Xenopus tropicalis: one gene and its partners. The protein of the gene in region 3 interacts with the protein of the main gene of each other region in a biochemical or structural test. Links are inferred from orthologs where the notes say so. Each region holds a gene or a part of one and is shown on either strand. Other genes may lie near its edges.

What was found.
Region 1: of the proteins of hspb1 (region 3) and mapkapk3, one has a biochemical effect on the other in vitro, tested with the Homo sapiens proteins (2 studies listed by BioGRID and IntAct). The link is inferred for Xenopus tropicalis from reciprocal best matches to the Homo sapiens genes HSPB1 and MAPKAPK3.
Region 2: the proteins of hspb1 (region 3) and cs form a complex in vitro, tested with the Homo sapiens proteins (2 studies listed by BioGRID). The link is inferred for Xenopus tropicalis from reciprocal best matches to the Homo sapiens genes HSPB1 and CS.

The regions. Positions count from the first base shown.
Region 1 is NC_030680.2:127,556,395-127,560,616, reverse strand, and holds the start of mapkapk3 (MAP kinase-activated protein kinase 3), read left to right. Parts: upstream 1-1,362; 5' UTR 1,363-1,413; coding exon 1,414-1,608; intron 1,609-4,222. UniProt on the Homo sapiens protein: Stress-activated serine/threonine-protein kinase involved in cytokines production, endocytosis, cell migration, chromatin remodeling and transcriptional regulation.
Region 2 is NC_030678.2:137,309,086-137,311,984, forward strand, and holds the end of cs (citrate synthase, mitochondrial precursor), read left to right. Parts: coding exon 1-190; intron 191-532; coding exon 533-703; 3' UTR 704-2,390; downstream 2,391-2,899. UniProt on the Homo sapiens protein: Key enzyme of the Krebs tricarboxylic acid cycle which catalyzes the synthesis of citrate from acetyl coenzyme A and oxaloacetate.
Region 3 is NC_030678.2:94,196,671-94,200,896, reverse strand, and holds the start of hspb1 (heat shock protein beta-1), read right to left. Parts: upstream 2,941-4,226; 5' UTR 2,893-2,940; coding exon 2,511-2,892; intron 1-2,510. UniProt on the Homo sapiens protein: Small heat shock protein which functions as a molecular chaperone probably maintaining denatured proteins in a folding-competent state. Plays a role in stress resistance and actin organization.

The DNA of each region.
Region 1 (4,222 bases), on a different chromosome or scaffold from region 3:
GCTGCTTTGAGATGGCCAGATACTGCATTCTTGTCTTCTACTTTGGTCTTTGGCCATTCTGGATTGTTTCAGCCAGCTGAAAACCTGTAAAACCTTACCTGCGACTTAACCTGGGGAGACAAAAAAAGCAACATTGGGGTCGGAAGACTCAACAGGGCTGCTACCCCAGGGACCCATACACCCACTCAGGGGCCCCCAACCACCTGCTCACCTACCACCAGCCCCTTCCCCCCACATGCATACCTCATACTTTGCCACAATCAGAGGAGGGCAGCTATGGCAGTGGCAGCAGCAGGAGCAGAAGGTCGGGATTGGGTCTGTATCGGTGGGGCCCATGAGGTCCCACTGGGTTTTTTCCCCAGTGTCCTGCCGGCTCAGTCCAACCCTGAGAGACATTGGGTACTACAGCTTCCAGCATCCATGATACAGGCTGTTGTAGTGTTATAACCAACGTTGAATTGGATACCTGGGGTACATGGCTGGACCCTAACCCACCCTCTACCAACCTAGACAATTTAGCATGCTGTGAGCTTTTATATATATATACTGCCCACGTATAACATCACTGGGGCAGGGTGGGCACGAGTATATAAGAGAGTATATAAAGATAGGCTGCCGGGCTGAGTCAAGGGAGTTCGGGCTGGAGGTACCCATGAGGACCTGGGCCCACCTGTTCTTTTCCTGGTACCCGAGTGGGCTAGTCTGACACTGGTCACAACATAATTTGTATGTATATTTTATTTATATAGTGCTTTTTATGCACATACCGCTGACAGAAGAACAATAAATTAATACAACAAACAGTGTGTCATTACTGTAATAAATACAAATAAATACTTAGTACAGTTGCATTAAAGATTCCACACAGCTTAGTGTCAAGTGGATGGGGTCCCTGCCTTGTAGAGCTTACAATGTAAATAATAGTAGGAGAGCTGCAAGTTTGAAATATATATTCTAAACAGCTGTTTATAGTCATATATATTCTAAACATCTGTTGGGAATAACAAAATATGTATTTTTGTCAAACTTTCCCCTGATGTGGCCCCTGTGATGCCTGGGATTCAGGGCAAATGCCCTTTCTCCCCTACTTTAATACTAGCCTTGCAGCTAAGGAGTTCAGAGGTTGTCTGTGTTTAGCAAGAAAATATATAGTTCTTTCATTCTCATAGGAAAGCAAATTTCCTAAGGCTGCCTCACTAGCAGTAAAGACATTAATCACCAGGCTGCCCCTCCTACCCCCTTCCTTCCTCCCTCCCTCACTCAGCCTTGGTGCCTGTCTCTCCTCCCACCCCTTCCTTGGTACAGGCACAGATGAGCTGTGGGAGGCTCTTGTCACAGTCACAGGGACTTTAGCACTAAGCTCCCGACATGAAGCTTTGGCTGGTGGCTGGCAGAGAGGCCTAAGTTGGCACTATGGAGGAGAATGCCAATGTCCAGGAGACGGGGGACCAGGAAACCCTCCCACCAGCCCAACCTGTTAAGCTGGAGATTAAGCGACATGCCATCACCGATGATTACAAGGTGTCAAAGCAGGTGCTGGGTCTGGGGATCAATGGCAAAGTGCTGGAATGTTACCGCAGGGACACCGGGCAGAAGTGTGCACTCAAGGTTAGTACAGCATGTTGATACAGAACCATCTAGAGAGAATGAATGCCACAGAGACATGTGAGAAGTGTGGGTACAGTGAGAGGGGAAGCCTGGAGAGGGGAATGTGAGAGTTCAAGTCTGTATATGGGTACAATATAAGGGTTAGGGGCAGGGATAATACAATAACACTACTAAGTTTATCTCGTACACAGTGCCAGTTTTTTTTAGGACAGCATAGAGAGTGCCTTTGTCCATCACATGGACCCCTGGGGTGGAAAGTTCTGTATACATTAGTACAAAGTATACATTTTCTTAACACTTGTTAGATATATACAGTACACCAGGGATGTCCAACCTACAGCCCTCCAGCTTTTGTTTAACTACAGTTATACTTCAACAACAGCCGGAGGGCTCCCTAGTTTAAGTAACACTCCCTCAGAGCAGCCCATTATAGGGTCTTACCTTATTGCCAGGGGATGCCTCTTCTCTAACACCGGCTGTGTGCCCAGTAAGCTAGGAGAGGCATGTGATTAATATACTGAATGTGGCAGTCGGGAGTTAACATACAACTCTGTAATTAGTGAAGTTTCGGGAAGAGATATGAAGCTTGGTTAGAGGGCAAGCTGAGAAACATGATAGGGAAGTGTGCTTAGTTTCAGGAGATCAGCAGTAGCGTGTTCTTAAGGGAAAGCATGCTTCTGGATAGTGTACAGACCTACATGTATCAGGGAGGTTTAAACTGGTAATGCGCAAAAATATTCATTTTATTGGTGAGGCCACCAAATGAGCAGATCTAGTCATATACAGTAGGTAAGTGGCTTAATCAGACTGATCTGAGTTGTTCAGCCATGAGGCCAATCACTAGAATCACAATAGAGGCCTATGCACACCCACAGGGAGAGGACCACATCAAAGGCATGACGAGTTCCTCCACCAAACCTGCCCAATGGATATGTAACCAGCCCCAAACATTAATAACTGACTTGGTCTGAGGTCTATATGTGGCTAGTTTAAAATGACCTTATGCACACTGAATCAACCTGTCTGGGATCCAGGTAGTGGGCCAAATCTGGCTGATGGTTTAGCCTTTAGCCAAGGACTGGATCACTGGGTGTCTGTGCAGTGCTGTCAGACACAAAGCCTGATACAGTTCTTAGTTGAAGGGATTTCTAGCCTACCCAACTAATGATAAACTATTAAGAGGAAAGGCGTTGTCCTGGGCCCATATTAACTCCTGTAGGCTGACCAAGTAATCAAAAGTGCCCTGGTCAGCAGCCAATATTCACTCAGGTGTATGGGCACCTTAGTGCCCCTTACATTGGAAACCAGACAAATTCTCTTTCATTTCTAAAGAACTGTTTGGACATTAGTAACAGAATGCACAGAAACTATTAGTTTCCTCCACATTTTAACTCTTAGAAATATATATTTATTGAGGTGCTGCAAATCAACAGAAAATTCTTCTTTATGTACTTAGTCAGGCCATAAATGAGGTCACTAAACAAGCAGATTTCTCACCAATATGCCCACGTAAGGTGAGCGATATCAGATCACAATGATGGGGATACAGGCCATCAGGAAAGGACCACATCAACAAGCCTATATGGCCCTTGATTTGGCAGGAAAATCATACCCGCCCGATCAAAATCTGGCTGAATTTTAACCAGATATCAGTCGGGGGGGGGCTGACAGAGGGCCCCATACACAGGCAGATAAGCTGCCGAATTGGTCTGGAGGCCTGAATCGGCAGCTTAAATCTGTCCATATGGCCACCTTTAGTTTTACAAAATGTCCCACTGCTATATATATATTTATCTACATCCAGTTTCCATGCAACTAGTTTGAGACGATTTGCATTTGAAATAGTTTATTCAATACAAATTTGGATCCGAGTGATGCCTCGTACACATGTCGCATTCTCCATGCAAGGCAGCTCATCTCGAAAATCTAATCTGTTGTCTTCTAATTATATCATTAAATACATTTTTTGAGGTTGCTAATGTATGTGCTGACTCTTGCATAATATCTCTGTGGCCTTAATCACATCACTTCATTAAAAAGTGCAATTGATTCCCATACTATTTCTCCGGGGCTGACAGGGAACGCTCAAATCCATTGGGCTTCCTTACATTACAGTTCTGCTGCATTTGGAGCATCTGTAGAGCAAGGCCATGGGTATGCATAATGTTTCTCCAATTGTTTCCATCTATGTAAATGACCAGAGGAAATATCTTCACTGGCTGAAATATGAAAACATGCTGCAGCTTTGCACAACGGGCAAATATTATTTTACTGCCCTGCAATACAAGCCAGTGGATTTAGGTATCTGCATCCAATGTAGGTAATACACATATAAAACACCTTGATGAAAAGGGCCATTATATAGGCCCCATCAAAACTTGGGTAAAGGTGAGCAACTGAATTAATGATTGTTTCCAAAAGAGGGTGGAACTGTTATAAAATTAAAAAACTATGTTAAAAACTGATGGCTATTCTCTGAGATGGAATATGAGAAAAAAAAAGCTTGTTGGATCGTACACTGAGAGAAATGGAAATGTCTGGTAATTACTTACCATGATGGCGCACATGCGCAGACAATGTGACTTAGTTGCCTTAGCATCTAGTGCCCATACCC
Region 2 (2,899 bases), about 43 Mb from region 3:
CGCTGTGTTGAGAAAAACCGACCCGCGCTACACGTGCCAGAGAGAATTTGCACTTAAACATCTTCCAAATGACCCTATGTTCAAACTGGTGGCTCAGCTTTACAAGATTGTTCCCAATGTACTGTTGGAACAAGGCAAAGCCAAGAATCCATGGCCTAATGTGGATGCTCATAGTGGGGTCCTCCTGCAGGTAGGGATAATCTAATAAATCCAGATTTGTAATTCAGATGTCATCAAAAGCACACATTTGAGTCATAATTGTATTCTGTCATTGGCTTTACGGAAGCCCACTTTTGATTGGTTCAGTGGTGGTAAACTAAGCTAAAAAACGTGATTTTGCTCATTGGAGTGGGAGCATTTATTGTAACATTTTCTCTACATGTCTGTATACAAACCGGCTTTGAGTTGGGGAGTGTTAGGACCATAACATTGCATGTGCACAGTACAAGGGTGACCAAACTCAAATGCATTTGAATCCGTCCAAAATTCTCTCATTGCTTAAACCCTTTTTACATTTTTTTCGCCCCAACAGTATTACGGCATGAAGGAGATGAACTACTACACAGTTCTCTTTGGCGTATCGCGGGCACTTGGTGTTCTGGCTCAGCTTATCTGGAGCCGAGCTCTTGGATTCCCCCTGGAAAGACCAAAATCAATGAGCACAGATGGCCTCATGCAGCTGGTCGGATCAAAGTCTGGCTAATCAAAACGGGAATCGCCAGGGCCCCTCCATTTTGTATAGAGGGCTCTTTAAAAAAAGACAGTACACCTTTTGTTTCAACGGACTGCTTTGCACCCCACTGTTTTCTGAATTCCGATGAGAAAACATGTCTGGTTATTTATGCTGAAAATCCATCTTGCAGCTCAGTCTCAGCCCCTTTTCTTGCTGAAGAGATCTGTATTCAGTTCTCCATCAGGAAATGGGATCTTGTGCTGCTGGTTAGAATCAGAACTCTGGAACCCCCTCAGTCACAATCTGTTAACTCACAGACCCCATCATTCTGCTTATTTATAATTCAGCCACGGGCAGTCAGTGCCTCCTAATTTTGTTACTAATCTGCAGAAGCAGTGGCCCATAGGTTTTCATACACAGGCTTGTATGGCACAGCAGCCCCCTTTATATGTCCCATTGTGAAACGCAAAACCTGCTATAGACTTGCCTGTGCTTAGCACAACACTGCGCCTGGCTTCATATCTTCAGGAGCATGGGTTTCATTCTCTTACTGGGAAATGTGATTATGTTTCTGCAACCATTTAACTGCTGTAGGTTGGCTGAAGGGCCTGCAGGGCAGGAGAAGATTAAAGTCAGCAGTATTGGACTTTGGAGGCCATCAGAATATACTGTCAGGCAAGGGTTTGGCATTGTATCATCCCCACTTGTTCTTATCCCATGGATGCTCCTCATCTATCACTTTTTGTTTTTAACATGTAGGTTTTTATGTAGGTGGACAGATAACCCTGCCTGCTGACCACAGTGAAATTATAAGGGAGTAGAAATGTCCATGAGCAAGAATTATTGTGGATGGGTTGCTGCTTTTAATGTCCCCCTACTAAAGTAAGGCTCTACTGTCGTTATGCTTTTATTTGCAGCTCTTTTTATGTGTTCCAGCACTCTGGATCCTCCTGTGCTGTACTGGGCCTTAAAATATTGCTAACGACCTTTTAGTGCTTTACAAACACAACTGTGAATTCAAAGGATTCAGTTAGAGAGAGTTTCTACTGGTTTGTTTTTTTTTTTTTTGTTTTTTTTTTTAAAGCTACCTTTACTTTAGCCCCTTCCTTGCTTGTGGCAGCAGTCTAGCAATTCTTGCCGCAGTGATCAGCTCCCATCATCCCAAGGACTACAAAAGCCTGGGAGCCTTAAGCATTGCTACCCTATGGGGTCTTGTTTGATTACAGGGTTCTGCTATCCAAAGGCCACAGTTGGACTGAATAAATGCTCATTATACAGTGTCGGTGTGCTTGTTAGTGTGCATTTCCCACTCCTTCTGCACTAGTTCATTAATCCTCAGAGATCTGCAAGTGCACTTTCCCAAGCTGCTTAATTTGTCTTCCTCTTGTGCAGGAATGTCAGGCTGCCAGCCCTTTTGCAAAGTCTAGTTAGTGATATTAGGACTCATAATTCCCAGCTGTTGGGGGTTACAGTTTGGCATCTCTGCTCTACAGCATGACTGTCCACCTAGAGACCCAAAAAGGGATCCTGTGACCCATTTGTTAATACACTCCTGTCCACCTGTCAGCCTTTTCCCATGTGGTATTGCCTAACCTGTTCTTGTCAGTGCAGACTAATTGGCCATCAAATGCTCTGCAAATTATGGATTGATATCCCAACTTACCAACAGACTTAAGGTTGTTCTGTATAAATGCAAAATAAATGTTTTTATTACCTACATATCTGTTGGCCTCTAAGGATCATGCTAAGAGCACACACACACACCAAATATATTCTAAACTGATGCATGCTAATGACATAAAGGACCCTATATCTAAAATACAAATATGGATTTAATTTATATTGTATATGCATATTTGTATTAAATAATGCTAGCTGTGCACAGCACTGTACATTGAAACAATACCTAGTGTATATATAGCAACAGATGGGGAGCAGTGTTATAATGGAATAGAAATAAAAACAAAAATACTACTGAAGATTGCTAAGTGTAAAGAGTAAGGAGGTCACTGGCCTACAGAGATCATAAAAATTCACTGGGCATGCATAAAACTGCAAATTTTTCTGACCTAAAGTTGTGAGGCTTTACTGGGGAAAAAGCTGTGTAAATGTCACTACTTCTTCCTGTAAAGCTTCCCTGTGTGTGCCAGCCCCAAGCTTTGCATATAATGCAGTCTCTTGCTTTGTGCAGAACAGAATGGGAATGACACCCCAGTAGGGAAGGAG
Region 3 (4,226 bases):
AAAGCCTTATTACTAGCAACAAAGCCTCAGTTGCTACAACAAATGTCTGTTATCTAAACTGATGTGCTGGAGACATTGTCCATTTGGGTCTATTGATACATGATACATTCAGCACATGGTACAGCTTTACCCTTGAATATACAATACCCCAGTTACCCTCAAAAGACTTGCGCTGCTAATGGCATATCTAATAAACCTTGTCTCTTTCTACTCTTAAACACGACTGATAAATGCATCTGATGCCAGCTTTGTGTTCTAAGGCTTATCAATGATAAGTCTACAGCACAGGGCTGCCTGGACTGTGTTGAAACCATTTCAAGATTATTGAGCAAGCCGACTTGCTTAAGGGCCATGGCCCACAGGGATATTATTCGCAGGGAACTAATCTCCCCAAAATGCCTTTCCACTTGCAATATAATGAATAACCTGTGGGAAAAAATATGCAGCATTTTGTTTTCCATCTGCTATTCACTTTATTTCCTGTGGGAAGGCATTTCAAAGAGATTAGTCACCCACAGTAGCCAAGATTTAACCACGAGTGACCAATCTCAATGGCACAAGAGGAGATTAGTCGCCTGCAACAAATCGTTATTGTGGACCTTTAATCTCCTCCAAATGCCTCAATGCCTATAGTTTACTTGCAAGGCAACTTTAACAACTTCATAAACCTAAAGTGATGCATATGTTTTCCCACTAGCAATTTGCATTATTGCCAGATGGAAGGCAAATTGAGATGAATGCAAGTAGGTGCAAGAACATTGGTTATGCCATTTTTATGAGAACTTCTGTGACCCTTTTTGCCCCGAGCATTCATAAATTAAACCTATTATCTAACAATATGATTCCTCTACTTCCCCTAGTTATATATAACTATTGTAATCGCTGCCACCTGCTGCTCTATGTGAAATTTGTCAGCACCCATACCACAGTTTCAGTGTGGTCTCCCCCACCCCCATTACATTTCTACAGTTTACTGTGTGTTAAATAGACCATAGGATATGTTTTAAAAATGAGTTGGAAAAATGAGCTGAGGCAGAAATAGAGATGATCAAGTTTTCTATTTGCAGAAGTATCGTATGATTATTATGATTTGTGCACAACAATATTGCCTTTTTTCTGTGAGTGTGTGACTAACCAAAACTTGAAGGAGAAGGACATGATAGAGAGGCAAAATAATGTCATTATATAAAATAACTAACTGTAAGCTTAATTACTTTACAAAAAAAATGTTTCATGAGATTCCTCTTTAATACTGTCCTTTAATACTTCAGTCCTAGCTATTTGTAGCTGCAATGCTGCAGAGTGACTTATATATATATATATATATATATTATATATATATATATATATATATAGACAGCAGTGGCGTGGAGAAGGGGAAGCAAGTGGTGAGCAGGGCTAGGCGTGCAAAATCTATAAATCCGGCCCTTACAGTACTGCATAATAATTTTAATGGGTAACAAACTAGGGGAAATATTTATCATGTGTAAAAAGTGGACTGAAACACTAACTGTGACATTGCCTAGGGCACCAATCAGCAATTAGATTTTAAACCAAAGCAAACATCTGGTTGGCTGCTATGAACAGCAGCACCGGTAATGTTTTACTCCCACTGCCCCCTAACTTGTTTATCATTCAAGCACACAAGTTAGGGAGTGAAGGCAGATGCTAACTGCAATGGTGCTCCTTACAACCTGTCCAGGCTGTGATGATAGGACTGGCTTATGAAGCTGCATTTTAAGGCAAAAATGGAGAAGGGACATGCTGTTGTGCCCCTAAGTGCACTTGCTCTTCTGCTCTAGGTCTACATAAATTCTATATAAATTACCTCCAGTATATATGGCAGATGATTCTGCTGGCAGTAGAGTAGGTTGGCCATAGTTAGGAATTGATTTGGGAAGTTTTAAGTAGGGGTAGGTCTTGGACCCAATAAACTGTATTACAGGGTAGAGATAAAGGAAGTGCCGCATTGGCCTTAGAAACTTCAAGGTGGACATTTAAGAGCCCAGTCCTAGGTGGAGCTGGATGTCCTTGGTTAGGCTAGCTAGGTATGGGTTATTCCTCCGAGGTGAGAGGCAGGTACGTTAGCTAGCAGGGGTAGCTGTGCCCAATGAAGGAGACAACCGTCACATGTGATTTTGTACCAGAAAACAGAGTGTGCCTTTTCATTCTAGGCATGACAGAGCTGCATAGGTAAGGAAGTCACCTCTTGGAGATGGTCTCAGTATGGCTTTTGTTTAACTTTTCTATCATGTTGTATCCAGGCTATGGTAAGGAACTAGGTGTCCTTTGTCCTATGAGCTTGAAAATCGATTACAAAATTGCTTGAAAGTTCAGGGAAATGTAATTACTTTGCAACCAGTGCAGCCCTGCTAAGTGCATTTATTAGAAGTGGTAATGCAGTGTGTTGGAATTATACAGCAAAACAGTATGTGAAAGGCATTTTTTAAAATAATCAATGTAGAATGTTATACTATTATTGCTAGTATATGAGGTTAGCCATGCCATACCTGTAATTTCCACGATGCCATCTTTAGTTTTTATGACCAGCTCCTCTGGGGCAAAATGGTTGACATCTAAGCTGATTTTCCATTGGTCTGAAGTCTGACGGATCTCTGAGATTCCACTGCTAAGCTGGCGGCTGAGGGCACGATTAAAGTCAGGAGCAGTTGCACCAGCAGGTGTGGTGGGGGGGACAACTTCCATGGACTGGCTTGGAAGCATGCGAACATAGCCTGGCCAGCTGGTGCTGGGCCATTGGTACCAGTCCTCGGGAATACGTGGCATACCGAATGACTGATCGAAAAGGCGACTGGTGCCTTGGTACCAGTCCCGAAATGGGTCCCAGCTTGGAGTGCGGAGGAAGGAGAATGGTATTCTGCGTTCTGACATTTTCTCTAGACCTGTGCCAGCTAGTAAGTGCTCTTTACTCTGTTCGGCCTGTGGTTGCTCTGAGGGTCTGGAAGGTGCAGCGGCTTTATGAAGAGCTAGCTGGTTATTTTTAGCTGATGGAATGAGCATTCTATTAATGGAAATTACACATGTAGTTGTGATGGAAATGTCTGGCATCTCTGCATGACAATACAATGACAGGGCACTCTCTCATAAACTGGGTAAACTTAACTTGTAGCCTTCTCAAGTTCCCAAGGGGGTAAAGGGTCTATAAACTGATGCTTTCTCTATTGATGACTTTGCAGAATACATTTTAGGAAAGCAAATTAGGGTAGAATGTAGAGAACCTCATGGCAACAAATTAGATGTTTGCTTTCATTGTTCTACCTACTCCTTGTTTAAATAAGCTAATCATTGACTTGCTGCTATGGGTTACTGACCAGGTCCAAAGTTGCCTACTGTAAAGAGGTAAAAAGATTATTCCTAGTTTTATTTTTAACCATAAAAGAAATGAATTGTTACATGAAGAGAAGAATATATTAACATTGTATTTTTTTCAACATTGTTATAAAGCACCAGCATACACCATATACAAATACTTAAAGGAGAAGAAAAGGTAAAAACTAAGTAAGCTTTATCAAAAAGGTCTATGTAAATACAGCCATAAGGACTCACAGAGTCCTCTATCAAAAGAAACACAGGATTTCTTGTCTCCTTTTTTGTAAACATGTTCTTAGGGTATCTGACTTCCTCTCTCAAAAAATCCTTCATTCCTGGGCCCTGAGTTGGCTTAGTTCTCTCTCTCCCTTCTGCTCCCCCTTCCCATAAGAATACATAAAACTTATTCCCCCCATCCTTAGGAATGTGTAATATGGGCTATCAGCCTCTAGATCTACTGCAGGAAGCTATGAACCCAAGCTAAAATGGCAGCTGCACAGAAAACAGAGAAAGCTTCTAGGAATCTTTACTCAGGTATGGTAATGCTTTCTGCAGAATAAATATAGCGTTCTAGGTGGCACTAAAGTGGAGAATCTATTGGCAGTAAATTGCCAAAATGACTTTCCTTAGCCTTTAAGCGAGCCATCCTTATAAGATCTCTTGACTCAGAATATAACAATCTACAATAGCCCTTGCAAAACTACAGAGGAATTTTTTACACTATTTTGAGAAAGAATGAGAAAGCTGTAATAAAATTCCAGTGTTCATTAAAAATGTGTCACTAAGATATACCCACAAAGTATTATGTGATGTTTCATGAACTGTGACAACCAACTTAGTCTGTTCTTCATTGTGTTTTTCATAATCAGAGCCATGCATAACATGTAACATATTTG